Linked DNA regions of Mus musculus. The protein of the gene in region 2 purifies or fractionates together with the protein of the main gene of each other region. This does not show direct contact. Links are inferred from orthologs where the notes say so. Each region holds a gene or a part of one and is shown on either strand. Other genes may lie near its edges. The genes, in order: Atpif1 and Mtmr9.

What was found.
Region 1: the proteins of Mtmr9 (region 2) and Atpif1 purify together in Homo sapiens (affinity purification with mass spectrometry; 5 studies listed by BioGRID and IntAct, with this or other methods). This does not show direct contact. The link is inferred for Mus musculus from reciprocal best matches to the Homo sapiens genes MTMR9 and ATP5IF1.

What each region holds. Positions count from the first base shown.
Region 1 is NC_000070.6:132,525,607-132,541,264, forward strand, and holds Atpif1 (ATPase inhibitor, mitochondrial precursor), read right to left. Parts: upstream 9,809-15,658; 5' UTR 9,133-9,808; intron 8,330-9,132; 5' UTR 7,963-8,329; coding exon 7,876-7,962; intron 7,782-7,875; coding exon 7,690-7,781; intron 5,218-7,689; coding exon 5,076-5,217; 3' UTR 4,949-5,075; downstream 1-4,948. Other genes in the region: Dnajc8 (dnaJ homolog subfamily C member 8), read left to right, coding at 9,980-10,057, 12,581-12,682.
Region 2 is NC_000080.6:63,534,983-63,550,672, forward strand, and holds the start of Mtmr9 (myotubularin-related protein 9), read right to left. Parts: upstream 8,972-15,690; 5' UTR 8,658-8,971; coding exon 8,476-8,657; intron 8,143-8,475; exon of another isoform or gene 8,076-8,142; intron 7,475-8,075; coding exon 7,366-7,474; intron 5,398-7,365; coding exon 5,272-5,397; intron 2,184-5,271; coding exon 2,010-2,183; intron 1-2,009. UniProt on the Homo sapiens protein: Acts as an adapter for myotubularin-related phosphatases. Increases lipid phosphatase MTMR6 catalytic activity, specifically towards phosphatidylinositol 3,5-bisphosphate and MTMR6 binding affinity for phosphorylated phosphatidylinositols.

The DNA.
Region 1 (15,658 bases), on a different chromosome or scaffold from region 2:
TCCCAGCAACCACATGGTGGCTTACAACCATCTGTAATGGGATCTGATGCCCTCTTCTGGTGTGTCTGAAGACAGCTACAATGTACTCATATAAATAAAATAAATAAATCTTTAAAAAAAAAAGTGTGATAGGACATTGTATCCTGGTCCAGTCTCTGTGCATCTGGACTTCTCTTTGGCTATGTGAAAAGTTGAGTTCAAGGCCAGCCTGGGATATATGAGACCTGTCTCACACACACACACACACACACACACACACACACACACCCACACACACAACCTAGGGTTTTGTTTTTTTTTCTGTTCTTTTTAACCTAGAACATTAGAATATGTAACAATGTTTATAGGGCCCAGGGCTCTCTCTGTAAGAATTGGGCAAAGAAACCTGGGCGGTGGTGTAAGAATTGGGCAAAGAAACCTGGGCGGTGGTGACGCACGCCTTTAATTCCAACACTTGGGAGGCAGATGCAGGCGGATTTCTGAGTTTGAGGCCAACCTGATCTACAAAGTGAGTTCCAGGACAGCCAGGGCTATACAGGGAAACCCTGTCTCGAAAAACAAAAGACAAAAACCAAAACAAAACACAGATGCTACCCTTAAAATAGAGTATACCTCTTGGTGACAAGGTAGAAACTGAATTTTTGTCCTTGTTGGGGCCTTCAGCTCAATGTCTTGGACAGAGAATAAACTGCTCAAAGAGCCAGGCCAGTGACTCTCAGTTCCAGCCACAGTTTGGTGGGGGGAAACACAGGGAGATTTTTAAAAATACCAATGTCCAGGACCAAATTGTTTTGATTTTTATTTTGCTGAGGTACGGTCTTACTGTGTTGCTGGCTGGCCTCCAATTCTCTTGACTCAGTCTTCTGAATTCTGAGGTGTTTGCTACTACCGACAGCTATTTTTGTTTCTTCTTTGATTAAAAATATATTTGTTTAATAGCCAGATGTGGTGGTATAACCATTAATTCCAGCACTCAGGAAGCAGAGGCAGGTGGAGCTCTATGAAGCTGAGGCCAGCCTGGTCTACAGAGCACGTTCCAGGACAGCCAGGGCTGCACAGAGAAACCCTATGTTGAAACATCAAATATAGTAATAAGATTGTATATGTATGAGTCTTTTGGTGTTTGCCTGCATGTATGTATACCACATCCATGCTTGGTGCCTTTGTCCCTGGATCTCCTGGAACTGGAGTTACAAGCAGCTATGAGCCATCCTGTGGGAGCTAGGAACCGAACACAGCAAATGCTCAACTGCCGAGCCATCTCTCTAGCTCCCTCTTCTTGTGAGATAAGGTTCTGCAATGGAGTCCAGGGATGGCTTGAGATGTGCCTGTGTCAACCTTAAGTGTTGACATTATGAATGTAAGTCACCTTAGGTAGGAGGGCCTGTGGGAGAGGTGTGTGTGTGTGTGTGTGTGTGTGTGTGTGTGTGTGTGTGTATGTGAGTGTGTGTGTATGTGAGTGTGTGTGTGGTATATAGGTACTAAGGTGTATGCACATGTGAGCACCTGAGCGCAGAAGATATCTTTCCTCATTCTCTTAATTGCTTTGTATTTTTTTGTTTTGAGACAGGGTCTCTCATTGTACCGAATGCTTATGGATTACGCTAGGCTGATGGCTGATGACTAAGCAGCTTTGGAGATCCTCCTGCCTCCAGCTCCCTTTGCCCCCCTCCAGACTAGTTACAGGTCCTCATGTGGATACAGAGGGCACTTTATTGTCTGAGCCATCTCTTCAGCCATACATTTGGATTTAATTGGTCCTAAGATAATGTTGATTCTCCTCTTCTTCCTCCCCACCCTTCCCCAACTTCTCTTCCCAGGCTGGGACTCAAACCCAGGAACTATTCAAGTGTTTGACCAGTGGGGTAGACTTTTTGTTTGTTTGTTTGTTTTTCAAGACAGGGTTTCTCTGTGTAGCCCTAGCTGTCCCGGAACTCATTCTATAGACCAGGTGGCTTTCATCCATCTGCCTCTGCCTCCCCCCAAGTGCTGGGATTAAAAGTGTGTACCAGGGGCTGGCGAGATGGCTCAGTGGTTAAGAGTGCCGACTGCTCTTCCGAAGGTCCCGAGTTCAAATCCCAGCAACCACATGGTGGCTCACAACCATCCGTAACAAAATCTGATGCCCTCTTCTGGAGTATCTGAGGACAGCTACAGTGTACTTACATATAATAAATAAATAAGTAAATCTTAAAAAAAAAAAGATTTGTTAAAAAAAAAAAAGTGTGTACCATAACTGCTCAGCTAAAAACAACTTTTGGGTTAACTGCTGTGGAAACCTCCAAGAGCTAGGATCACGAGTTTGCACTGCAGAGGCATGCACAAACATGCTGAAGGGCCTCCTGTCACAGCCGACATGTCAGTGCCAACACAAACCACAGCCATGTCTACACTTACCCAAGGAGCCTGCATCCATCGATCCATCCTCTGAGGAACAGACAGCAACCACTTCTCACACCGCATGGAAGAGGGAACTATTGGCATCAAAACCGCAGCCCTGGAACTGTAGCTAAGGGTTTTGAGAGCACTATCGGGAGGAAACAGCTTTCTGCTCAGGACAAACTTCACAAGACCTTGGAGAAGTTACCTCACAACCTGCTGCAACTCTGGCTATAACATGAGGCTGAGGATGTAGCACAGTGGTAAGGTGCATACTTATAGTACATACGGGTAAGAACCTTCATTTGATTTCCAGGAGTATCAAGTCTAAAAAAGTATGCATAATTAATGAAAATGGGGGTGCTGGAGAGATGGCTCAGCGGCTAAGAGCACAGCGACTGCTCTTCCAGAGGTCCTGAGTTCAAATCCCAGCAACCACATGGTGGCTCACAACCATCTGTAATGGGGTCTCATGACCTCTCTGGTGTGTCTGAGAGAGCAATAGTGTACTCATGTATATAAATAAATAAATATTTAAAAAATTAATGAAAATATTTTGCCAAAAATAACTTCAGATGTAACAAGCAGATAATTGTAACTTGCTCTGTAACTTTTACATCTTGTGCAAGCTGTAAATAATCTATTTTATAAAATTCTATAGGATTAGCTCTTTTTTTTTTCAAGACAGGGTTTCTCTGTGTAGCCCTGGCTGTCCTGGAACTCACTTTGTAGACCAGGCTGGCCTCGAACTCAGAAATCCGCCTGCCTCTGCCTCCGGAGTGCTGGGATTAAAGGCGTACGCCACCACGCCTGGCTTGGATTAGTTCTTAAAGAAAGAAAATGGGGGGCTGGAGAGATGGCTCAACGGTTAAGAGCACCGACTGCTCTTCTGAAAATCCTGAGTTCAAATCCCAGCAACCACTTGTGGCTCCCAACCATCCATAATGAGACCTGAAGCTCTCTTCTGAAGTGTCTGAAGACGTGTACTTACATGTAATAAACAAACATATATATCATAAAAAAAAGGGCCGGGCAGTGGTGGCATACTCCTTTAATCCCAGCACTTGTGAGGCAGAAGCTGGTGGATTTCTGAGTTTGAGGCCAGCCTGGTCTACAGGACAGCCAGGGCTACACAAAGAAACCCTGTCTCAAAACCAAACGAAACAAAAAAATCAAAACAAACAGAAAACAAAAAGAAAAGAAAGAAAAGAAAAAAGGAAAAAGAAACCAAAAAAGGGCTGGTAGGATGGCTCAATGGTTAAAGGTGTTTGCCACCAAGCCTGGCAATGATCTGGATTTGACCCCCAGAACCCACATGGTAGGGAATGGAGTCCTCTCCTAAGTTGTCCTCGGATCTCTGCGGCAGAAACATACTCACTCACCACTCCAAACCTTCCCCATACCTAAAATAACTGTGTAAAACACACACACACACACACACACACACACACACACACACACACACACACACACACAGAGTCCACAGCAGTAGAACGCTGAGTCATCTAGACATTGAATACTCACACAACCGGGAAGACTTCCTCAATTCCAATGCAAGGGGGAAGAAAGGTCTGCCCTGAGATCTCTGCACTGAGGGTCATAAGTTTTACTGTGTTATTCCTGGCAACGTTTTCCATACCTAGTGCTGGGATTATACCAGGCCCTCATGCATGTCTAAGCAATGGCTTTACTATGGAGTTAGGTCAACTGTTGGTCTCAGAAGGCCAGACTGTTTTTTGTTTTGTTTTGTTTTGTTTTTTCCTAGAACTAACTGACCAGGCTAGCCAGGAACTAACAGAAATCTGCCTGCCTCTGCTTTCTGAATGCTAGGATCAAAGGTGTGTGCCACCACTGCCTGGCTCTATGTATCTTTTTAAAAAAGAATTTGTTGGAAAGTGAAAAAAAAAAAAAAACCAACTTTTTTTTTCCTGAGACAGGGTTTCTTCGTATAGTCCTGGCTGTCCTGAAACTCACTCTGTAGACCAGGCTGGCCTCGAACTCAGAAATCCGCCTGCCTCTGCCTCCCGAGTGCTGGGAATACAGGCGTGCGCCACCACGCCTGGCTTTGGGAATGATTTCTAATTGTAGTTGTCTCACGCTTAGAGCAATAGCTAGTTCATATGAAAGAGCCAGCCTTCTAGTAAGACAGTGCTATTGTTTCTGGTCCTAGCCTTAGAAACCACTCTGTTTACTCTTTCCTCCAGACCGCAGCTAGGCTTAGGCATTGGACTGGGGTTTACGTTTCAAGCTGTCTCTGCACATTCTGATTAGACTGAGGTCAGGGTCACACCCTCCCCCGTACTCTATTTAGTAGAAACCCTCAATTCATTCTAATGGATGAGAAGTTTCTGTCCCTTAGTGGTTCTCAACCTTCCTAATGCTTCAACCCCTTAAAGGTTTGGTTGCTACTTCATAACTGTAATTTCCCTGCTGTTTTTCCGATCAGAATGTCAATATTTGATGGTTCAGATGTCCTTAGGCGGCTCCCGTGAAAGGGTCGTTCTACCCACAAACGGGGTCTCAAGCCAAAGGTTGAGAACTGCTGCTCTAGACAGTAGAAGGCATCAGGCAAGTTTCCTGGTGATCGTTTATTATCTGTTAGTAGCACACAGACCAAATAGTAATCATTCAAAGCCATGTGTCTACAGACGTGGGGAGTGATACGGGCCACTCTGTGAGGGACCGACTGCGCGCATTCAATGATTATTCTTTAGTTGTTGGATCTTCTTCTTATGGCGTTCAATTTGCTTCTGCAGACGCTCTATCTCCTTCGAATGGTGGTCAATCTCATCTTCATGGTGTTTCCTCAGGGCAGCCAGCTGTTCTTTAGTCTTCTCTCTATAAAGAAACAGTGGCTGAGGGATTTAATCCAATCTTTCATCTCAAGGAGATCTTTACTTTACTTTAATCACATTTACTTGTATATGTGCACAGGGTGGGGTGGGAGGTGGGGGGTGCAGCTTGTGGGAGTCAGGGTTCAGTTCCCAGCATCCACATGATGGCCTACAACCATCTATAACTGCAGTTCTAGGGGCTTCAACTGCTGTCCTTGGATAAGTTCCAGATTGAAGTTTCCTGAGTTGGGAGGGAAAATTGGCTCTGGAAACTTTCTCTCCTAGAGAACTCAGGCTCCATTTCTAGAACCCACACAGCAGCTCACAAGCACATGTAACTGCGGTTCCAGGGTACTAGCCTCCACAGGTACCAGGTACTCATGGGATATACATACATACATATATGCAGGCAACACACACACAGAAAATCAGAGTGAAGAGACGGCTCTGAGATGAAGATAATGTATTTCTCTTCTAGAAGAATCCAAATTCAATTCCCAATACCAATGTCAGGCAGCTCACAACTATCTGTAACTCCTCTCTACTGGTTTCTGATGGTCCCCACACACTTGGCCCAAGCATGCATACACACACACAAAAGTGCACATGCACATACAGGCATGTTTAAATAAAGGTGTGCAACACCGTGATCAGCTTTTTTTTTTTTTTTTTTTTTTTTTTACATTTTTTACATTTTACATGTATGTTTTGGCTGCATCTTTTTATGTATGGCTTTCATGGAACTCAATATGTAGACCAGTCTGGTCTCAGACTCAAGAGCTCTGCCTGCTTCTTCTGCCTCTGTCTCTAGAACACTGGGATTAAAGGCACAGGATACATGCATGTATTGCCCATGTAGGCCAGAAGGGAGTTTGAGATGCCGTAGAACTGGAGCTATGGACAGCTGTTAGACACTGTGAGAGCACTAGCAATAGAACCTGGTTCCTCTGGAAGAGCAGTCATTGCTATTAGGCCCTGAGCCATCTCTCCAGCATAGGACCTCAGGTTGGTTCCCAGTACCCGTTTCTTTTCTTTTCTTTTTTTAAATTTTATTTTACGTATATGAGTACACTGTTGCTGGTGGATTCCATTACAGATGGTTGTGAGGCACCAGGTGGTTGCTGGGAATTGAACTCAGGACCTCTGGAACAGCAGTTGGTGCTCTTAACCGCTGAGCCATCTCTCCAGCCCCCAAGCACCCATTTCAAGAGTTTAGAACTACGTGTATTTCTAATTCCAAGGGCACCTAATCTCTAACTCCCAATGGGCACCTGTACTTGTGCACATATCCCAACACCGTCACAGAATTAAAGGAAAGAAAACTCAAACACAATCCAACAAAACAATAATACATAAGGTAAAGGACATAGGTCCCAAGCCAGGAGTGGTGGCATAGCTTAAAATTCCAACACTTGAAAGGCTGAGGCAGGAGAATTGCCATCCTGATAATTGTTTTGTTTTTAAGATTTATTTATTATACATAAGTACACTGTAGCTGACTTCAGACACACCAGAAGAGAGCATCAGATCTCACTATGGGTGGTTAAAAGCCACCATGTGGTTGCTGGGATTTGAACTCAGGACCTTTGGAAGAGCAGTCAGTGCCCTTACCCGCTGAGCCATCTCACCAGCCCCCTGATAATTGTTTTTTTTTGTTTTGTTTTTTTTGGGTACTGAGACTTGAAATCCAGGTCTCTGTTTAAGTTCTTATTCCATAAATGAGCAACAACCCCTATGGGCTTAGGACGCAGACCAAAGGAGAAACGGAAGCAAGATTAGTTTCTGGCTGCTCTCCAGTGGACAGAAGTTAAAGATAACTCAGGGCCGGGAAAAGGTTGTAGATAGACCTAGTCCACTCCCTATTTCTAACCAGTCCAGAGAAATGTACAACCCAGGGCCTGAGTAGTGCAAGTCTCCCGGAGTGGGGGAAGTCTAACCTTGAGCAGCTACTATCTAGATCATGAGAACTGGAGACACGTGGAGGATCTAGAAATGGCTGACAGGATCTGAGGCCTCAGGGAATGGACACAGCCTTACAAAAACTAAAGAGAGGAGAGGGAAGTTGGGGAGAAAAGATGGGGGTGACAGGTGAGTGAGCCGGGCTCAGAGGCTCTGCATGTTCTGGCTAGTTGTAAACACTGCTCGGAGCACCTGGGGGAGTCTCGCACAACCAGGGGTGCAGAGGGGATGACTGCGGGGGAAATGCGGGGAAGATGACAGCAAACGATAAATTAGGAGACTACCCTTGGGCTGAGTCCTGCAGAACCGGTGTAAAAGGCTTAAGGCTGGCTGGGAGGCCAGCAGTGCGATACTAGCAGTCTCGACTACGAGGCGACCCGATGGCTTCATCAGCCTTGGAATTCTGCCAGAAGATGGGCGCCCCAAGGGACCAGGTAAAGATGGGTGGAGCGACAGAGAGCGTAGAAAGGACAGGGAGGACGACTGGGGGCTGGACTTGGGACCAGGTGGGCCTCACCGGAAGTACCGATCCTCTTCAGCCTTTTCTCGTTTTCCGAAGGCTCCACCAGCTTCTCGGATGGAGCCAGCGCCCGTATCCATGCTATCCGACTGCAAAGAGAGTCGTGGACGTGAAAAGAAAAGGCACAACAAGGGAGAGAGAACCTGCGCCCCGCGATGGGCGCTGGGCCGTGCCGCCACCTACCGAGTCCGAGACGAAGCCTCGGGTTTGCAGGACCTTCATACCCCAGACACCGAACCGAGCCCGAACTGCCAACGCCGAGCCTGCCATTGTCTTCGGCGTTGCTCAGCTCGCGTTGCGGGCGTGGCTGCTTCTCTCCTAGCGCGCTAACTGCGAGGGCGGCTGAACTGCCAATCTAGACGCCGGGGAGGTGGGACGAGCACGGAAACCGCGAATCAGGAGGGAGGGGGCGGGGCTTATGATATCTGCAGCGTTTGTTGAGAGGGAGGCGGATTTATCCCTTAGTTAACAGTTAATAAACAAGGCTCTAACGCATCATGACCCAGGAGTCTACAGAGCGAAGTCAAAAGATGAATCTTGGCTTTTGGTCTCTTTAGAATGAGGCATTTCGTTCACTCCCACTGCACAATTTCCGTCCAAAGGTCGATTTTATTAAAAATGTACACGATGGCAAGCCCTATGGACATGAATAGATTGGGGAAACACAAAGTTTGTGGTAGCCATGCCTAGGATGCCGACAGCCTGGATATCGACCTCAAACCTCTGTTTATACATATGAAATCGTGTTTATCTCTTAAGAGGTGTTCTTGTTCTTTGGTTATATTGCCACTGCAGTGCCTTCTCTCACCTTAAATGTCACTTTCTCAGAGAAACCCTTCTTTGACCTTCCTAGTCATCCTGACAGCAATTTTTTTTTATCCTTGCTTCTGAGTTCTTTCTCACAGTTTACTTTGTGAAGCCATCAGAGCCTTAGTAGGTAGTGAATTAGTAATTTTGAACTGTATCAATGTGTCGGTGAATGGACCTAATAACTTGGTGACGGGCTACAAGGACACTGAAAAGAACATCAAGCGAACTGGTGGTACAAACCTGTAATCCCAGCACTCCTGAGGCACACAGGAAGAGCTTAATCTAGCTTAATCTAGCCTATTCGACAAAGGGAATTCTGGGCCAGCCAGGGCTTCATAACAAGATCCTGTTTTCAGAAACAAACGAATAAACACCCACACCCCCCCATACACTCCCCCCCCGCACCCCCCCCGCCCCCCACACATAGGGCTAGTGCTGGGCCCCAATGGTGAAAGGAGAGAACGGACTCTTGAAAGTTGTTCTCCCTGACCTCTCCATGTGCATTGTGACACTGTGCCCCCACTAATAAGTAAGTATAATTTTAAAAATTAAATAACAAACTCCAAGCACAGATCCTTATACATGCATGCTCATAATTGCTTCCATCCCATTTTCCGATTTTGTCCCTACCTCAATGAGATCTGTTGTAACTCGGGATGGCCTCAAACTCGCAGTGAAGAAGCCAATTTCTCATCTTTCCGTCTCCACCTCCCCAGAGTTGGGGTTACAGGCATATGTCCAGCTTCATAATACTATTTCACAGTGGTCCAAAGGTGAGAAGACCCCAAATGTTGAACTACTGAAGAGGTCAACAAATCATAGCATAGACATACCTTTGAGGAATTGGATGCCACCATAAAATGCAGTAAAAAAAAAAAAAATTTTTTTGACAGTTTTTTTTTCACAGGCCTGGCTGTCCTGAAACTTACTATAGAGACTAGGCTGGCCCCAAACTCAGAAGATCTGCCTACCTCTGCCTCTGGAGTACCAGGATAGGCTCCACTGGGATAAACTCTTAAAAAACTGGTACATGGTGGTTACCCAGGCCAGTTCCAGCACTCCAGGGAGTCATGTAGATCTCTGTGAGTTTGAGGTCAGCCTGGTCTACAGAGAGAATTCCAGGACAACCAAGGCTACACAGAGAAATCCTGGGTCAAAAAAACCAAAAAACTGTCACATGAAAAAAACCTAAATAAGAATTGTATAAGTAGATTCCATCCATGGGAAATGTCCAGAATAATAATAGGTATATCCAGAGACAACAGATTTCTTTCTGTCAGAGACTGGAGACAACCAGGGCAACACTATGAAACTTTATCCTTATTCTGAAAAACCAAAACTAAAACCGAAAAAAAAAAAAAAGAGGTCTCGGCCCCTTTAAGTTCAGCTGGCGGGCGGGGAGTCCGGGAAGGCGGGCTTGGGTGGTTACGTGAGGCTGCGCTTGCGCAGAACGGTCACGTGGTGGTTAGCCGGGAAAATGGCGGCTTCGGGAGAGAGTGGTGCTTCGGGTGGCGGAGGCAGCACAGAGGAGGCATTTATGACCTTCTACAGTGAGGTGAGCCCGGAGTAAGGATGGTGGCCTTAGGACGACCGTGCTCCGGCTTCGTCCGCCGCGGCTGGGGCCGGCGAGGCGCCTCCTGGGACCGTTGGCCCGCGCCGTCTGGCCTGGGGACTGCGGATCGGCTGCGGAGTGCATGCGCGACCGCCACTGTGGCTACTGAGGTCCCCGGAACGCGGCGGGGCGGCTGGGCCTGTGGACCCAGACCCGGAGAGGGGCCCGGCGAGCTGCTGGTCGCGCGGTGCAGCCTGCTGGCGGTGGAGTCTCCGGCTGGCGGAGGCCGAGCTGCGGCGCACCCACTTTTATTTGTAAACAGGAAGGAGGCCCTTGTCCCACTCCTCTGCCATGAATTGTGCGAGTGGCGATTTCTGCGGTCTTATCAGTGCTGAGCACTGTTCATCGGGACAAGAATGCGTATGTGAACCCTCCATCTTTAACATGACGAACCTCTTAAGAGGGTGCATACGTTCTTGGTGTCAGGTAGGACAGGAGTGAACTTGCTCTGAGCCTTGTTGACATTTGCATCGCCAGTGCCTAATGCGTGGTGGATGTTTCGCATATATCCGTTGATTAAATGAATGAATAAACTGAGTTAAAGTTAGCTATCTGGCGTCAGAGGCCCACATATTGCGTTCTCGCAAGGCAATTAGCCTAACTGCTGTTGAAATTTCAAGACATCAGTTCCCACACTGGCAAGTTAACATTGTAAGAGTTTTCACGACGATTAAAGGGTTTCGTGTATAAAAAAGCAGCTTGAAAATTATAAAGCAGTCGTTTTCGAATTAAGTACTTTCTGGTAGCCCAGGTTGGACCCTCTTGCTTCAGCCTCCAAAGTGCTGGGACCAGAGCCATTATCTCTTGTGCTTATAAGAATACTTGTAAGCCGGGCGATGGTGGTTCATGCCTTTAATTCAGCACTTGGGAGGCAGAGGCAGGCGGATTTCTGAGTTCAGGGCCAGGCTGGTCTATAGAATGAGTTCCAGGACAGCCAGGGCTACACAGAGAAACCCTGTCTCAAAAAACAAAAACAAAAAAAAAATTTTTTTTTTATGTTAGGAAATATTTTTTTCCTTCACATTGTTAGCATATTTTGCATTGCTCACAGTTGGAGAAATTTTGGTCCATCTTGGTGGAAAATGGAGGCAGGGCAGTTGACATCCTCAGGCAGGAAACAGAGAAGAAAGGCCTGTGCTTCCCGGTGCAACATTGACAATCAGCACGGACTCTGATTTAGCCCTCTTGTGTTTTTATTATATTTTTTTAAATTTAGTTTTGGCTTTTTGAGACAAGAGTTTCCCTGTACAACCCTAGCTGTCCTGGTGCTTTGTAGACCAGGCTTGCCTTGAACTCACAGAGATCACCCACCCGTGTCTGTCAAAGATGGTTGCCGCCATCACCCTGCTTGTCCTTTTGTTTTTAAGACAAGTACCCAATGAAGCTTAGGTGGCTTTACTCACTTCGCAGTGTAGGCTGCTTGGAACTAGGGCTCACTCTCCTGCTTCAGCCTCCTAAGTGCTCGTGTACAGGAATGAGCCACCACACCCAGCCGTTTTCTTTTGCCAAGGGTCAAACCCAGGATCTTGTGCATGCTAGGCAAGAACTCCACCAACTGAGCCACCTCGTAAGTCCTTCATAATGGTGTTGAATGTTGCTCATAGGTCATGGTTCAGTGTGCATTTTGCCTTTCAAAATGAAAAGAAAAAAAAAGATAGATTAATTGTACCCACATGCAGCTATATAGGTCTCTGGTGGTAGTTGTGTTTAGTATCTGGGAATCCTCTCGACCTCTGATTGTGAGTCAGACATAGGGTAAATTTCTAACAAGTTAGGTAATTGGAAACCTCACTTTCTGTAAGCCATAATTTCCCTATAATGGGATAATGGGGGCTGGAGAGATGGCACAGCGGTTAAGAGCACTGGCTGCTCTTGCAGAGGTCATGAGTTCAATTCCCAATAACTGCATGGTAGCTCACGATCATCTGTAATGAGATCTGATGCTCTCTTCCGGCATGTGGGTATTCATGCAGATAGAGCATTCATATTCATAAAACAAAATAATTAAAAAAAATGTGGAGTGGCTAATACTCCTGGAGAGAAGTGTTTACATAGTAAATGTGAATTTTACAGATTGCATGTAGCGTACATGTATACACAAATGGGCACAGAGGTCATTGTCATATGTTTTTCACTGTCCATATTATTCTTTTAGACAAGACCTGTCACTGAACCTGGAGCTCAGCAGTTTAGCCGGGCTGTGCAGGGTGTGAGCTCTGGGGGCCTCCCTGTCTCCTCCCTGCCCAGCTCTGGGTTTCCAGGCGCACGCGGCCATGCTTAGCATTTACGTGGAGATCTGAAATATCATTGTAAAATAGCTACGCCGCTGTGGTTGTTCTCCAGTTACCAAAGTGTCTTGGACATGGGAGATATAAATCGTTGTCTGCTGAGCATTTTAGCGTTGTGTTAAAGTAGATATATTTAGCTTATTCTTACTAATGGGATTACCAATTCTTTTACTTTTAGGTGAAACAAATAGAGAAGAGAGATTCAGTTCTAACATCCAAAAATCAAATTGAAAGATTGACTCGTCCTGGTTCCTCTTACTTTAATCTGAACCCATTTGAGGTGAGTAGATTGTTACTGTAGAGTTTGGTGGGAGAGCTTTGCATATGACAGTTATGTACGAGTTCGTTATTGTTGCTGTAGCTTCTATGGTGGACAGCTTTCCATACGTATACGTAAGTAGGGTTGTTTGTTTGTTTGTTTGTTTTGAGACAGTCTCATGTATTCAAGGTTGGCTTTGAACTCCAGATTCTCCTGCTTCAACCTCCCAAATGCTGAGATTGTGGAAATGAACCAGCATACCTGGGTTTTTTTGTTGTCTTAGGTGTATTTATTATATTTATATGAGTACACTGTAGCTGCTTTTAGACACACCAGAAGAAGGCATCAGATCCCATTACACATGGTTGTGAGCCACCGTGTGGTTGTTGGGAATTGAACTCAGGACCTCTGGAAGAGCAGTCAGTGCTCCTAACCGCTGAGCCATCTCTCCAGCCCTGGCCAGCTGGTGTATTTTTTTTTAAATGATTTTAGAGCTTTATTGTAGAAAAGCACAGAGAAAGAGGGAAGGAAAAAGAGAGAGAGGCCCGCCATGGTTATGTGGAGAGAAGGGGGGAAGGGAGGGGAGAAGGGAGCTAGAGATGAGAGTAAGAATGTCGAGCTAAAGAGCGCCAGCTGTTTTTGAAACAGGATGTTACTGTAGCTCACTGTGGCCTGGGGCTGGCTCTATAACCCAGGTTAGCCTTGAGGTTTGACTCTATGGTTCTCCTGCCTCAGGCTCTAAGTGCTGGGGTTATAGGTGTAAATCATAGTACCTGGCTTGGGAGCAGACTTATGTAACAGCGTACACCCCAAAGTTCTATTGGTTGGGAATGAAAAAAGGGTGGTGATGTTTTTGTGACAGGCAGGTTGTCTTTGAGGTTGAATGCTTTTATTGTGAGTAGACTTGTTGAGGCAGCTTGTTAAAGCACCAAATGAGATAAACTTGGTCTAGTTAAATGTTCTCCAACCTTTAGTAGCCCAAGTAGACAAGGATTTGTTTGTTTATTTTGCTATAGTTGGTCTGATAAACTTATGGTTTTTGACCTTAAAAAATGGTAGTCCCAGATAAGAAATTCTCTGTGCATTTGGGAGGCAGAGGCAGGGATATCCCTACAAGTTTGAGGTCAGCCTGGTCTACATAGAAAGGCTTGGGCCAGCCTAGGGCTCCAGCAAGACCTTGCTTCAAAAAAATAAAACAAAACAAAGTAAAAACTTTGCTAAAACTTTTTTGTTACAGGAAAATAAGAAAACCAGATATTCAGTAAAAACAGAACTAAGATCAGGAGATTTTAGAGAAGCGAATGCCCTTTGAGTTTTTGAACATATCTCTAATGTAGCCCAGAGTGGCTCAGCCTAGTCCTCCCACTTCCTAGTCCTGAGCACTGGGAGCACAGCGTGCACCACCCACTGCGCCTGCCGCTGAGCATTTCTTCTCAACACTAATCACTGTTCTTTCTCATGTGATAGAAAGCCAAAAGTCATTTACCTCAAATCGCAGTGGGTTGGCAGTGTGTCCTCCTTTTTTTCTTCAACACAGGGTGGCAGACAGATTCTGGTGCTACCCTCAGTGGCTCTATTTAGGTCTATTCCTTTAACCCTCTAAATACACTGATTATTATTATTTTTAAAATGTTAATGTATGTGTATGCCTTGTCTGCATTTGTATATGTATACCATGTACATGCCTAGAATCTATAAGAGGTGTCAGAGCTGGAGATCCAGGGGTGTGACCCACTGTGTGGGCGCTAACTCTCCAGTGGGGGCTCTTAACCACAACCACTGAGCCCCCCCCTCTGTATGCAGTGGGGGCTCTTAACCATTGAGCCGTACCTCTCCCCTTCCTTCCCCCCCCTCACTCTCTCTAATCTTTGATACTGGGAATCAGACTGAAAGGGCTTCAAATATTACTTAAGCATTTTACCATTGTGCATACTAGATTGGCCCTTGATTTTTTTTTTTTTTTTGGTTTGTTTGTTTGTTTTGTTTGTTTGTCAAGATAGGGTTTCTCTGTGTAGCCCCGACTGTCCTGGATCTTGCTTTGTAGACCAGGCTGACCTCAAATTCACGGTGATTCTCCTGCCTCTACCTCTTAAGTTCCGGGACTAAAGGGGTTGTGCCACTCTGCCTGGCTAAGGTTTATTTTTATATACACACACATATACATACATATACTTTTAAAATTATGTGAATATGTGTAGATTTGTGTTCATCAGTCCAGGTGCACATGGAGACCAGACATGTTGGATTCCCTGGAGTTACAGGTAGTTGTGAGCCATCCAAGATGGGAGCTGGTAACCAAATTTGGGTCCTCTGCAAGAGCAACAAGTATTCTTTTTTTTTTTTTTTTTTTTTTTTTTTAAAGATTTTTTATTTATTATTATATGTAAGTACACTGTAGCTGTCTTCAGACACACCAGAAGAGGGAGTCAGATCTTGTTACGGATGGTTGTGAGCCACCATGTGGTTGCTGGGATTTGAACTCTGGACCTTTGGAAGAGCAGTCGGGTGCTCTTACCCACTGAGCCATCTCACCAGCCCGCAACAAGTATTCTTAATCACTGAGCCATTGCTCCAGCCACTATTTTTATTTAAACTATGTGAACACGTCTGTGTGGGTCTCTATACCTGTGAGTGGGTGAGAAGGTGTGCATGGGGGGCCAGATCTGTTGCATTTCCTGGAGCTGGACTACAGGTGGCTGGGAGCTGAGCTCTCCTCGTTCTAGAGCAGTGCATGATCTTAGCCTCTAAGCCATCTCTCCAGGCCGTTTTCATTTTTATAATCAGAGTCTCTCTTTTTAGCTTAGGTCAGCCTATAACTTTTGTCTCAACTTCCTAAACACTAGGATTATAGGTGTGAACCAGTGTGCTGAGCCTATGTTCATATCTTTACCCTACTCATCAGTTCTGACAGGGCGTGCTTGGCAGCCTACTCGGAGCTTGCCCTCCTCATCCTTTCTCAGCACTCCATGTCAAGCTGCTGTTCTGTGTGGACACCAT
Region 2 (15,690 bases):
CTAACATAATCTTGGAGGAAAGAGCAAACTTCGCCTCCATACACATAGGGTTAGAAGGCAAGAATTATGAAGAGAAACAAAGTGAACAACATGCATCCTTTTCTGGGGAGTCATCGTCAATGTTCTGGGGCTGCCTGTCTATTACTTACCCTCTACTGCCCTCTGCCGGCCTTTTTTCTATTCTGAGACTGCCTGTCTGAAGACGACCATCTATGCATTTGAAAGGTTTGCTTTCTAAGCTTTTCTCAAGAATTCAGTGCCTGTTAGACCAGTCTCTTTCCAGGGAATGGACTGGAGACGTCTCAGGAAAACCTTCATCACATGTTCTCACCACTCGCAAACAGTTCAACCCCGCCTGCGGCCAGTTTGTGGTTAAGTTTTTGGGAGGCAGAGGAAATGTTAGGAGGTGGGGCCTGGCTGGAGTAAACAGGTATTTAGGGATGTGATTAGGGGATAGCCCTGCCCCCCCGGCCTCTTCTTCCTGTCTCTCTGCTGAGGTCAGGAGCCTCTTTCTCCCCACACTCCCTCCATCATGGTGTTCTACCTCACCACAAGCCCAAAGGAGTGGAGGCAGCAGGACGGGGACTAAAACATCGAATCTGTGAACCAGTGCACATCCTTCCTCCATTAACTTGTTTCTCCACAGCAGTTGCCCATCTCTGGATCTGTTCCAATAGCCTGGTGACTAAGAGGAAAACCTTGCAGGATACACCATTAGGCTTTGCCAATCTCTGTACGCCCTAAATCTAAAGCAGTGACATCTGAAACCCACACAGCTTTCTAGCTTTGTTGCACCCACCCACCTGAGGTGTTCCCCAGTGCAGCCGTTACATGCATTACCTGTGCCTTCCTTTATTTGGGACTGCAGGAGCTGATGAAGCCTGTCACCCAGGGCAGATACTACTGTTTGGCTCAGAATAAACAGCAATGATTTTATATTGATGCCACCAGAGGGCACAAAACTACATTTGGTCTCAGTTGTTAAACACTGTGATTAAAAACTGAGGAGCAATGCCACTGCTGGCAGGACAGGTGGCCTGCTGACTAAAGAGCACAATTTTAACTCTGTCACATTGATCCCTCTGTCATATTCCCAGGGGGAAGGACAATGGAAGAGAGTTGTAACTGTCTAATTTAATATGGGCTGCAGAATAAGAAGCAAATCAAGAGAGGACAAAGTGTCAGACATGGTGGCGCACACCTTTAATCCCTGCACTCCAGAGGCAGAGGCAGGTGGATCTTTATTAGTTTGAGGCCAGCCTGGTCTACAGAAAAGTCCAGGCCTGCCAGGACTAAACATAGAAACCCTGTCTCAAAACCAAGGGGGGGTGGGACTCGGGGGGAAGAGGGGAGAAAGAGGGGGAGAGAGGAAGGGGAAGGGAGGGGAAAAAGCAGAAAGTAATTTGGAAAGCTTACGTGGGGCAAGCTCTAGACTGCTGTATCTCCTGTGAGGAACTTAGGAAGCCCTGAGTGAAGTGTCTTGCTGATATGAGCAGGCCATGTCACAAAGACCAATGCCACAGACTCATGGGAAATAGACAAAATCTTGCCCAAGGTCAGGTCAGAGAAATGGCACACCCTTCCTCTGAGCATAAATGTTGACAGCATATGCAAAACTAACAAGTGCAGAGCCTGCTAGCTTACCTCTCACCTAGCTGGGCCCTCCCCTGTCCTGTCCATAATAAACATGCTGAGGCTCCACATTGGAGCAGTGGTGTCACTCCATCAGACTATGAACGGCCTACCGGATCCCAGATTTTCTATTGCAGTTTCCTTCACACTATGCTCTGAAGATGAATCTAACCTTTCTAAAGCTGAGCAGTAAGAAAGAATTTAGAGCATCTTTGGGAAAGCTCCCACTCCTGGGGCCCTGCAGTTTACATGAAGGATGCACTAGTAGGAACAATCTGGCCTGACTTCAGAGGAAAGCCACACAGACAAGAGATCATTTTCAAGGATCCAGCCCACAGGAGACCACCCGCCAGCAGAGTGGCAGCCCTCATACTCACCATGCCATTCTTTTTATGGTAATAGCTCAGGACTGGGAAGCGCCCCCCATGTCGGAAGGCTGCTACCTTCCGAAGTGCTTCGTCATCGACGGACTTGGGCACAATGACAGTTGGTGGGTAGGAAGGACAGATAGAAAAGTCCTTATTGATATAGCTCAGTCTCCATTCACTGGTCTGAAAAACACATAGCACTTCAAAACTTAGCCACCGTTTCAGTGTCATAGAGCATCTAAGATTTAAAAGTTTTGGAAATGATTTCCAGGGAAGCCATTCAACAGGGAATTTGGATATCTAGCCCACACTCAAGTCCTGTAGAGGAAAAAAATTCCACTCTTCACACCAGCTTCAATAGCTCTGGAATGCCTAGTGATCAGTGTCCCTAGAAACTGCTTGCTTGTGCCAGCCAAACACACCTATTGTATGTGACGCTTAACCATCATTTGAAGCTTAAACTATGACACAGACAGCACAGCCTAAGCTCTCCACAAGACAGCCTGGCAAAGGTTTAAGACAGTTAAAGACAGTTCTTTCCTTATGACAAGGAGACACTCCTGGAAAGCCCTTATGTGTCATGAGGTCGTTTCTAAGTCAGCTCCTGCATTATGGAAGCATGTGACAGGAAACCATCAAACAGCAGAAATGAAAACTGCATGTAAAATGTAAAACTGCACTTTACAGCTAAAAACCCATATTACATGTGCAAACTTTAATATGTGCCTAAAAATTCAAGCTGATCCTACATATCAACCCTGGCTTAAGTTAATAGAAAATTAGGGTAAAATGTGAAACAGAAACTTTAATTTACAAGATCAAATTCATACAAATTTTAATTGCTTTCTTCTATTTTCAAACATTTTGCAAAAGTTTTTACTTACTTTGTTGACTCGGTGTATGTGTGTGCATGTGTGCCTGCTGTAGCATGTGCACATGTGCCCGTGGAGGCATGAAGAGGCCATGGGATTCACTAGAGCTGGAGTTATTGGTAGTTGCAAGCTGCCCCATGAGGATGCTAGAGCCCAGCTCAGGTCCTCTGGAAAGCAGCAAGCTCTCTTTAACCACTGAGCCATGTCTCCAGCCCCACCTGATTTCTGTACTGTTCCCACTTTGTGCTCACTTTCTCATATTTCCTTAGGCAGTTTTAACTACTGCTTTAGAATCCTTCAAACATCTGGGCCATCTCAGGCTGAGTGCCTCTTGACTCTGTCCTCAGGAGAATGGGTGACATTTCTTACTCTATAGTTTTGGTTGCATCACAGCCCTTGTGAAAGCAGACACATTTGGTGCAGAGGTTTTTAGCATGCTTTTAGACCTTGGTAGCTTAATGAAGTCCACAGCCTGTGCTGCATGGTGGCTCAGCTCCATGCTCACTCTGTTCACAGCCAGAGACCTGGGTTGCACACAATGTCAAGGTTCCTTTCTCAGGCCTGCTCCTGCCCAGGGTTCCTCACTGCCCTCCTGCATCACTGATCGCCTCAGGCTCCTTCCTAGCTTTTCCTCCTAGAGGAACAAGGGCTTCTGTCAGAGTGTGAGCTGCTCTGAACGACCAATGCCACAGTATGCTGATCTCTAACAAAGCCACTGAATGAGACTAATGAGATGTCTTTATAGATATTCTAAATATTCTGTTCTTTTAATATCACATTGCATGGGGCGAAGAGACATAACTGATAAGCAGAAGTAGATAATACTATGATTATAGAATTTTGTGGTTGGCAAACAAAAGAAGCTCAAAACAAACAAACAACAACAAAAATTACCCAGCTTTCCAAAATCTACAGATCAAGACAACCCGTCCTTCTCAAAGGTTTTCTAATGATAGACACAAGATCTTATGTCCCATTCTATAAATACCATAAAGTCTTACATTCTTTTATTCACTTAACAACTCTTTACCACTTGCTGGTCATGTGCCAGAAATACCGCATAGGAATAAACTCGCCTCGATTCCTGACCCTGTGAAGCGCACACGCTCACTGCTTCCTAGCCCAGGGGGAGCAGTAAGCTATGAGCACAGCCAAACTGCTGCTTCCCCACACTTGAAGGATGCTTCTTACAGACTGTTCTTCCCGCTTCCCAGGAAATTCAAACCCTGGCTCCCTTCTTATTTTAGACACATCCTTCAGGAGCCTATGGTTCCCCCTTACCCCATGCTTTTCATAACATGCAGTTTGATTCCTGCCAACTTTTTGTCTTTAATACACATCTCTCAAACAAGCTCTAGACTAAACTACATTTTCACCATTTTCAATGGTATTTATCATACCATAAAACTTCCTTCTTCCCTCTGCTACCACGGGCATCTTCATTCTTCAAATGCCATGGATCCCTAACCTCTACTTCTTGATTTCCAAGTGACCATTTATAAAAGTAAGAAAAAGAAGCCAAACAGTCAGGAAGGAAAACCTGGTTCCTGCAGGTGGCCTCAGAGACCAGGCCAGGCGTTAACCCAGAGCAGTGCACAAGCCAGGTGAGGAGTTCCCCAGCACTATCTTAGGCACACAGTGCCCAAATCTATTATATATTAAGTCGTTAGTCAGGAGATACCTATTAATTAATGCACAGTCGCCAAGGTGAGCTTTAAGCAAATCAGTGCTTTATTTTTATTTATTCTTTTAAGATTTATTTGCTGGGCGTGGTGGCGCATGCCTTTAATCCCAGCACCTGGGAGGCAGAGGCAGGTGGATTTCTGAGTTTGAGGCCAGCCTGGTCTACAGAGTGAGTTCCAGGACAGCCAGAGCTACACAGAAAAACCCTGTCTCGAAAAACCAAAAAAAAAAAAAAAAAAAGATTTATTTATTTCATGTATGTGAGTACATTGATCCTATCTTCAGACACACCAGAAAAAGGCATCAGATCCCATTACAGATGGTTGTGAGCCACCATGTGGTTGCTGGGAATTGAACTCAGACCTCTGGAAGAACAGCTAGTGCTCTTAACCGCTGAGCCATCTCCCCAGACCATTATTTTTATTTTTTAAAACAATATTTATAAATATAATTTAAAAAAAAAATTAAAACACCTAGACTATGTTAATCTACTAGAAGGAAAAGCATTGCCAGCTGCAGACATTATACTAACACACGGACAAAATAACCAGCTCAGAACAAAAGGAGCTGAACCAACAGCCAGTGCACACTCTTAACTTGAGGCACGAATAACCCAACTCCACCTCACTCATCTTCAAAGGGAAGAGAGGATTTTCACAAGTAAAATAAAGGGTTGTGTCAGTTCTTATCACCCACAATGTCAAATGTTGACTCACAGCAGAAGAGTAGAACTCAAATTCTTGCTCAGGAAGGAAAGAATGCCAGCCATCTTCAATCACTTCAAACATGGGTCGGTAGAAGAAAGGGTACATCAGGGTGACCGAGTCCAGAGTGGACAATGCCTAGAGAACAGAAAGAAAAAGATTCTACAAATCTAACAAAGTAGCAGTAGGCACACAGGGTCTGGTGATGATGGAGCCCAATACGTGTCTCTCCATGCAGCTCGTCTGACTCCAGCATTCATACTTCATCATCTAACAAGACACTGACACAAACACCTACACTCAACAAGTGCTGCCTGAATGAAACAGGCACCAGGACAGTCTGTGCCTAGTGAAATAATGCTTCCTGGTACAATTTAACGAAGCTCAATAAAATGTCCAAGAATTTCTGGGTGCTGGGGAACAAGGAGGTCTGGATTAGTTAGTAAAGTCTCAGCTAAAAATCTAGTAATTAACTAAACACTGCAAACTATTCAAAAGCTATGTCCCCTTATCAATTATTCCTTTATTATATAAAGGAATGCTCAATTCTGGCCAGAAGCCTCAAGCTCCAGATCCCAGCTACATAGTGGTTAAGTCACATAGCTTCCCCTGTTCAATGGAAGAAACTTTTCAGGCTTATTAGGAGTGTCCATGGAGATAAGGCATCTAATAGGCCAACAACAGTCAATGCACACAATAAAACTAGCTCTAACAAGATACACACATGTGAAAGCTTCATCCACACTCACTTCCTCCTTCCTAAAGGGATCTGGCGAGGCGTCCTACTATCTCTATGCTACACTAGTTATGCCCAACCAAAGTGAGCCCTAGGCATCCCTCTGTCCAAACAGTGGAACATTATCTCAGTTTGCTTTCTCATTCATGTTGGGGAGTACAGCCAAGTCAAGAGCATACTTCCAAGTGACAACTACATATGGCAGACTATTCAACTTACATGCTCATTTCTTCCAGTAGAACTTGGCAAAAGCAGAAAGGTTTGTGTGTCATTTCCTCGACAACATATTACTTGATCCTCTACTTCTTGTTGAAAGCCAAACAAAATTCTAATTATAGATTTAAGGCTTTCTCTCTCCTTTTAAGAGCTAAACCCACTATTTTTTTTTTACATAAAGCCCAGTAAGTCAGTTACACAGAAAGAAAATAAAATCAGCTTGACTCTATAATTGCCTAGAAATTACTTTAAACAGTCAGTTGATATAATTGATATAATTTAGTGGCAGCAATTTAAAAGTTGGAGTAACCAAAATAGTTAGAAGAAGGAAAAGAATGTGAGACCTTCATCAGAGACCTTAAACTATCCAAGCAAAGTTTCTATGTGTGGCTCAACGCTTTTATACATGCATAAACAGACACGCCTTAGGTGAACTGGCAAAAACAAATACATACGTGCAGACATGCCAAAGTCACAAATGGCAACTGTTGGTGACAATCACTTGCTTTGTCTGTATACACAACACTGAGAGTATACATCTGACACACAGTGCAATGGTAAGCTAAGAAATGGTACGACAGTGAACTTTATGTGATATGGCTAATTTCTACCACAAAGTCTCAAAATAAAGCTGTTGCCATAGAAGGGTCCTCCAATGACAGCAACCATTTGCCAATAATTATACTAAGCATTCTACATAAACCCACGAATGTAATCGTAAAACACCTATAAAAGGCAGGTAATGTCATCTTCCTTTTATAAGACACTACAGGCTAACTGTGAGAGGTGAGGTGCTTCACCCATAGGCCCCATGTTAACAGGACCTCACTACTGCAACAATCACAGTATAAGAGCACTGCTCAGAGTTGAAGGGTTTCAGAGCTGCTCCACTCAGGATGACCACACTTGCTCACTGTGATGCCCAAGGACTGTAACATGGCCACAATCAGCTACACTGTATTTGTTTTACTGGCTTACAATTTCACATAGGATGTTCTTTCAGGAAATCTACAGAAACAGAAAAACAGTTCACAAACTGTCTTCAGAGCGAAAGTAGCAAGATTCGCACAGTAAATGATTCTTATGCATCAAGGGCTGTACAAAATCAAAATATCGCCATTTTCCTATCAGAATTTTGCCTGCAGCATACTTACCTCAATGGAACTGGCTATATTTAAACACTCCTCCATTCCAGGAATATCCAACTGAATGATTCGGAAATCTTTACATTTTATGATGATGGTACCCAGAGAGCCCACAAATCTGTAAGAAATTACATGAAATCATGAAAATGGTAAGAAAACTAGTGAGGACAGTAGGTGAGAACCAGAACACAGAGAACCAGGGATTCAGTCTTTATCATGCAGGCATGAGAGACCATTGAATACATTTATGCAATAAAGATGAACTGAGGAGTCTAGTAGTCTGCTGATGGTATCTTGTACACAGATACACACATACACACATAAGTAAAAATAAAAAATTTAAAGTGATGGAGTAGGGAAATAAAGATGAATTAGTTCCTATGTTCCTTTAGAGCCAGCCCCTTTCTTTTCACAAGAAAAACTGAATGTTAAGGGCTAATGATTACCCTCAGTGGGAAGTGATCATTCCAGAGAATAAGTAAGATGCAATATGATAAACTCAGTCTTCCCTAAATGAGCAGGGGTGTAAAATTTGTCATCCACCTGCATCGGCACTCCCCATCAGCTATTACAGGGGTGCACCTTACCGATTTTAAAACGTTTTAAGGAGAGACTAAAATGCATATGCATATATATGGAAAAAATGACAGTGTACTCAGTTAAATACTATGGCCAGGCATAGCGGCCCATACACACACAACTGTAATTCCAGCACTTACTTGGGAGGCTGGGGCTGGAGAGTTGGAAGTTCAAGACCGGCCTATGCTGCAAAGGGCTGAGCATGCCTATTTAAAAACGAGATCGTGGGGGAGGGGTCGCTTTAAATTGTATTGAATCATAACTTCGTGAAGTCAGATTAACAACAACCAATAATTCAAGAAATGTGGTGGAAGAAATTTTTTTTTTACAAAGAACATTTAAAAATACGCCCAAATGCTGTTCAAAATGACCACTACGACTCTGAGACCTTAGCCTGGGGATGCCAGGTGGCCAGTGCAGATAGATCTAGGCCCCAGAAGGCTCATTTGGCTGGCTGAGCCAGGATACCCATAAAAAACCACCTGAAAGCGTCTGTTCCGTTCCAGGCTCCTCCGGGACCTGGGTGTGGTGGGCGCTCACCGTTTGTCGATGGCGTCGATATTTGAATGGAGGAGCCAGAGCTCCTCCGTGTTGTCCTGCCGGGAAGACAGGATCAGGTGGTGGCCTGTCAGACACAGGGTCCCTTCCACGGCGGTGTAGAAAGGCCGGTGCAGCACCACATTGTCTACCCGTGGGGTTTTAATCAGCTCCGCAAACTCCATATTGGGCGCAGCCTAGGGGCGGGAGGCCCAGTCCCGCAGGTGCCCGGCGGTTAATCCGCAGACCCGGACGGAGCCCCGGCTGGGCGGGCCCGGGAGGTCGAGCCCCGCCCCGGCTGGGCGGGTGCGCCAGGGCCTGCGGGCACCGCCCTGGCCGCTTCTCCAAGTCTCTTCCGCACCACTGGCCGGGACTCGGTCGCAGAGAAGGCTTCCCGCCAGGCCCTGCACTCCCCGCTGCCACCGGCGTCTGACGGGCGGGCTGCGGAGGAGACGGACCCGGCGTCGGGGCAGCAGCATCCGAGCCCGAGCAGCCAGGGACTTCTGGCGGAAGTAGCTGCTGAGCGTTGCACCCGGCAGGAACTCCTGCACAATTAGAGGGACTCGAGACTCGGAAGACATAGAAACCGGACCGGAAGTTGGTACTTTGCTAGATCCGGTGGAACACAGCCAGAAACAATGACTTTATGGTCCTACAATGGAAAAACAAAACAAAACAAAACAAAACCAACCAAAACCTCTTTCACCTTCTACCGCCGCAATCCTTGCCCTTCAAATATTCCTTATCGGAAAAGGCGAGACGAGAAGACGTCGCTGACCTGCCAGCCTCCACATGAGTGCTGTCCCTCAAGGGCTCTTCGTTTGCGCTACCTGGTAGTTGTCTCATGAATTGGTCACGAAGAGATGTCAAATGTAGGATGGAAGCGGAGGTTGTGATCGAAAAGTAGCATCTTGGTGTCTGGAAGAGACATGGGACAATCTATGCTTTAGACTCTTTGAGAGCGCCATGACTTTAACCAAGAACAGCATATTCTAAAAGGATGGAAAGAGAAACTGACTAATCCTCGCCCTGCGAAAGGACTCTAGTGTCTTCAGAGATAGTTCAGTTAATCTGTAGCAAAGCCTGAAATCAAGACCTTGGTATATTGGTCACGACTTCATAGTATCCCGGCTAAGTACAGTCTAGCTGAACTGCTCACGGACACTGCAATGACAGAGTTTTGCTGTTGTAATTTCCCTCTTCTTTTTTTTTTTTTTTAATTTTTTATTAGGTATTTTCCTCATTTACATTTCCAATGCTATCCCAAAAGTCCCCCATACCCCCCCCCACTCCCCTACCCACCCACTCCCACTTTTTGGCCCTGGCATTCCCCTGTACTGGGGCATATAAAGTTTGCAAGTCCAATGGGCCTCTCTTTCCAGTGATGGCCGGCTAGGCCATCTTTTGATACATATGCAGCTAGAGTCAAGAGCTCCGGGGTACTGGTTAGTTCATAATGTTGTTCCACCTATAGAATTTCCCTCTTCTTGCTTTCTATCCCTCTACTTTATCCCAGAATAAGAATTATGTTTGAGTCCTGGCCTGCTTTTACTGTGTTAGCAGTGAAAATTCTCACCACCCAGTCAGTGTCTACGAACAGCAAGGTAGCTGACTTCAGAGTGTGCAAAGTGAAGTTGACCAGATTGCACAGTGTTTGTCCTTGATTTTGTTCTTGTCTTTTCTAAAAACCTTCCCTTCCTAAATCACTCACTCCTGCGATCCAGTTTATCTGCAAAAGGAAAACAACCAGCAATGGATGCTGATGGACTGAGGTGAAGTAATGTGGAGGTGTTTTCCACACCGGATTTGTTTACTTTCCTTCCTCACTTGACTCATTGTATTAACTACAAATTGTGGAATGGAAAACTTTTAATCTGAAAAATAATGAAAAGTTATACAGAGAAAAAAATGAAAGTAAAGCCTTGAAGGGTAAGGCTCCCCGAATGGAAGATATCCAAGGAAGAACTTAGTGTCCAATTTAGTATATGCTAGAAGATAGAAAGTCTCCATGGATTCTGTGGCCCTTCTGGTTTTCTTGAAAATAAATTATGAAAACGTTATTTCATTAAGTTAAAATGTTTCATGCTCTATAAAGTCATAAATTAGGATTTTTTCCTTTTATTTGTTTTTTGCCAAGAGAAAAAAATTAGGTATCTTCTGAGTTGTTATAATGAAGTACCAGAAACGATTAGGAAATTAAATCACCAGTGATTTGAAGTTCAAAGCGTAGAAAGTTCACTAGCGCTGAGAAAACCAAACTTAGTAGTTAGGAATAAAGCCTGAGTAAAGAGCAAGAAACAGTTCCCCACATAAGCAGTAGGTGGCGGTAGAATTCAAAGTCAATGGGATATGCCTCTATTAAAATAATCCAATGATGTAGTCAAATATTAACTGTCCAAACAGTCAAGAAATAAGGGCCTCAGGGGATTCTGATAAGCCAAGAAAATAATAAAATTTATAATGTGTACAATGGATTTACTTAAGGACTATAAAGATAGCTCAATGGGTGCCTTAGCATTCTATTGTGAAGAGACACCATGACCACAGCAACTCTTTTTTTTTTTTTAATTAGATATTTTCTTAATTTACATTCTAAATGTTATCCCCTTTCCAGGTCTCCCCCGGAGACACTCTATTCTATCCTCCCTTCCCCTGCTTCTATGAGGATGCTCACCCACACACTCCCACCTCCCGGCTCTCACATTCCCCTATACTGGGGCATCGAGCCTTCACAAGACCACGGGCCTCTTCTCCCATTGATGTCCGACAACATCATACTCTGCTACATATGCAGCTGGAGCCATGGGTCCCTCCAGGTGTACTCTTTGGTTGGTGGTTTAGTCCCTGGGAGCCCTGAGGGTCTGGTTGGTTGATGTTCTTTTTCCTATGGGTTGCAAACCCCTTCAGCTCCTTCAGTCTGTTCTCTAACTCAGTCTGATCACATCAACTCTTATAAAGGAAGGCATTTAATTGAGGGTGTCTTTTGGTTTCAGTGGTTCAGTCCATCATCATCATGGCAGAACATAATAGCACACAGGCAGACAGTGCTGGAAAAGGAGCTGAGAGTTCTACATCTGGATCTTTAGGCAGCAGGAAGCTCTAAAGAGCTGCTGGTCTGACTTGAGCATTTGAAACCCCAAAGCCCATCCCCAGTGACACACTTCCTCCAACAAGGCCACACCTTTCAAATAGTGCTAATCCCTATGCTTTCAAATATTTGAACCTATTAGGCCATTCTTATTCCCACCACCACAATGGGTAAGGAGCAAGTGTAAAGACCTAAGGTCAAAACCCCAGAACATATACAAAGAAGAAATCTGAGTCTAAAACCCCAGTGCCAGAGAAGGGGGACAGAGACAAGAGGATCCTGAGGGTTCACAGGCCAACCACTGTAGCAGAAACAGTAAACTCTGGACCAACCAATGAGAGAAACTGACTCAAAAATAAAGTTCAGAGGACTCAAGAAATGCACCTGATATTGACCTTCAAACTCCCAGGCCCACACAGTAATATACACCTGCACACACACACACACACACACACACACACACACACACACACAGAGAGAGAGAGAGAGAGAGAGAGAGAGAGAGAGAGAGAGAGAGAGAGAGAGAGGACACACCATAAAATTGAATTGAAATATTAAGGAGCACTGGGAGATGCCTCAGAGATTGAGAGTAGTCACTGCTCTTTCAGAGGACCCAGGTTCACTTCCCAGCACCCACATGGAAACTCAAAACTATCTTTAAGTCCAGATGCAGGGAATCCAGTGCCATCTTCTGGCCTCCAAAGGCATCAAGCAAGCACAAAGAGTACTACATACATTCAGGTTAAAACACTCATACAAATAAAGTGAATGTTTTTTTAAGAAAAAATTTTAAAGGACTTCGTCATTGCCTTGCAGGTACTACTATTATCTTTATTCTCAAGATTAAAATGGTACAGGTGTATAATCAGAAAAATTTCATCCTGAGAACTACAAACAAGAAAACGTGATTGTTGTCTTTCTGCATCTGATTTGTTTCCCTTTACATGATCCAAAGTCCATCTACTTTCCTGAAAACACTAATTTCTTCTGCGCATATGAATAAAAGTGCATTGAGAGTGTCACTTTTTTTTTATCCATTCAGCTATTGACAGATGTGGCTGATTCATAGCTTAGCTATTGTGAACAGTCTACAATAAACATTGATGTGCAAGTCTCTCTGTGGTATTTTGATTGGAAGTCCTATGGGCAGATGGTCAAGACTGGTCTAGCTGGGTCATTGTGGTAATTCTATTGTTAGTTTTCTTTTCAGTTATTATTTTATTTTACCTTTTAAGATTGATGTCTTATATGACATGACACAGGCATGGGTTAGGTGAGAATTCATACATTGAGGATTCTGGTGATTGAACTTAAGTAATCAGGCTTTGTCAGCAGCCATCCTTTCCTGCTGAACCATCTTGATGATCTCACTGTTAGATTTTGGAGGAGCCACGTACTGTTTTCTGTTGCACTTGAACTAATTTACATCCCCACCAGCAGTATAGGAGGGCTCTTCTCCATCCTCAAATGCATTTGTTGTTGTTGTTGGTGGTGGTGGTGTGTGTACGTGTGTGTGTACATAGATCTTCTTGTAGAGATCAGAGGACAACATATAGGAGTTACTTCTCTTATTTGGGTGGGATCAAACTCAGATGGACAAGCTTGGTGGCAAGCACCTTTTCTGCCTAAGTTATTTCAGCTGCTCTACACCCAGCTTTTTGCCAGTGTATTCTAGGGGATTAAACTCGGGGCCTTATGCTTTCATGGCCAGCACTTTACTGACTGAGCTGTCTCCCAGATCTGCATTTGCTTTTTAAAGGATGGGCACTCTGACTGCAATGGGATAGAATCTCGATGTTTATTTAATTTACCTTTCCCTGATGGCTGAGGATGTTGAACACAGTGGCATACATCCACTGGCCATTTTCTGTTCATCAATTTATTAGCCTATTGATTGATTGAATTGCTTGGGTGTTTGATAGCTTGTCTCTCGAGTTCTCTATTCTAGCTATTAGTCCTCCACCAGATATAGCAAAGATTTTGCTCCCATTCAGCAAGCTATCCCTTCTCTGTGCTGCTGATGCTTCCTTGACTGTGACAAAGCTGTTCAGTTTCACACAATCCCATTCATCAATCTTTCAGATTAGTTCCTTTGTTAGTAAAGTCCATTCCAAGAAGACCTGCCTATTCCTGTATCTTTAATTTCCCCCACCTTTTCCTCTAGCATTTTTAAAGTTTTAGATCTCACATCTAGGTCTTTGTTCTGTTTTGAAATTATTTTTGTGCAGAATGAGAAATAGAGATCCTCATGTGGATATCCATGCATGTGGGAGAGTCTTCCATCTTCTAGGGCCCTTTTTGGGTTCTCCAATGTTTCCGAACTTTAACAGAGACTTTCATTTCTTTGGTTACATTTATTTTTCTGAAGCTGTTGTGTGTGAGATTGCTCTCCTGATCCCTTCCTTGGCATGTTCACTGAAGGCATAGGAAGGCAACTGGGATTTGTACTTTGACATTGGTGCTGCTATTTTACTGAAAGCATATATCAATTCTAAGAGCTTTCTGGTGAGATCTATTATGTAATCTGTAAATAGGGATAATTTTACTAGCCCCTTTCCTACTGATATCCCACTGGTTTCTCTTGTCTTGTTTCTCTAGCTAAGACTTCAATCACTATACTGAGTAAGAGTGGAGAAGATAGTCACCCTTGGTTATTTTTTTTTCTTTTAGGGAAAATGCTTTGAGTTTCAGTACGTTAGCTATATCGCCTTTAATTTGTTGAAATGTTTCTTCTATTCCTAATTTCCCCAGAATTCTTATCATGAAGAGATGGCAGGCTTGTCAGAGACCTTTTCTACAGCTGTTGATATCATCATTGATTTCTTTCCTTAAGTCCATTTATGTGATGTTCTTCACTTATTAATTTGCACTACCCTTACATACTTGAAATGAAGACAACTTGATCATGATGATTTCTTCTATATGAGGTTGAATTCAGCTAACCAGTCTTTTATTGAGAATTTTTGCATCCATGTTCATCAGAGAGATTAGTCAATAATTTTTGTGTGTATGTCTTTGGCTGGTTTTGATATCAAGGCAATACTGGATTTGTAAAATGAGTCTGTTTTAAATAATACTGTTTTATTTAAAGTAATACTGTTGCTTACTTTTCTATTCCATGGAACAGTTTGAGAAACATTAGTGTTGGCTCTTTAAGGTCTGGTAGAATTCAGCAGTGAATCCATTTGGGTCTTGTAGATATTTATTTTAATCTTTCCCTGTACTTAACCCAAGTCCCATCGTGACACCTCCTTAGGCATCTGGCAGCATATCATATCTCCTCTCTCCTACTCATTCCCTTTCAAGAAGTCCTTATTCTTGACAGGTGGTGTCAGCACACACTCTACATTGTGAGTTCTAGGACAGCCAGTGCTACACAGAGAAACTATCTCAGGGAGGGGATGGGGTAGAAGGTCTCGTTTCTACTGACCTTCATTTTTCATGCCTGTCAGATTTAGTCTCTACCAATATCTTGTCTTCTTTTAAAAAAAACTATTTGTTTATTCAGTTTCTATGTGCATGACTGTTTTACCTGAACACATGCATGTGCATCATGTGTGTGCAGTGCCCGTGGAATTCAGAAGAAGGCACTGAATCTCCTGAAAGTGGAGTGGCAGTGTAGGTCCTCTGCAAGAGCAGAAAATGCCTTTAAACACTGAACCATCTCTTCAGTCTCTATCTTGTCCTCTTGACCTCTCAGTGCCTGAAGTCCTTCAGCTTCTATGTCAGATGTCACTGTCTCCCATTTTCCCCTCTGACTAAGGGTACTACATTGTGTGATCTCTACAGCATCATGTGATAATAGCTCTCCACATTCTTGAACATGCTGAATAATTTACATGTATAGCTGCCTCACAGGCTGGTGTTAAGGGCTGAATTTTGTATTCCCCAATTCATATACTGCTACCCTAATTTCTATACATCTAAATGTGACTGCATATGGAGATAAAGATCTTTAAGAGGTAACCAATTAAAAGATGACTGTCCTGTGTTGAGTTCAGGTTATCCCCTGTTCGAAGCTACTCCACATTGGGTTTCCCAGTGGTTTTTCACACTGTGCCTTGCCCTAGGGGACTTCACTTTACAAGCCACTTTTGACTCCATTTTGAGGGCAAAGGATGACTGCAACC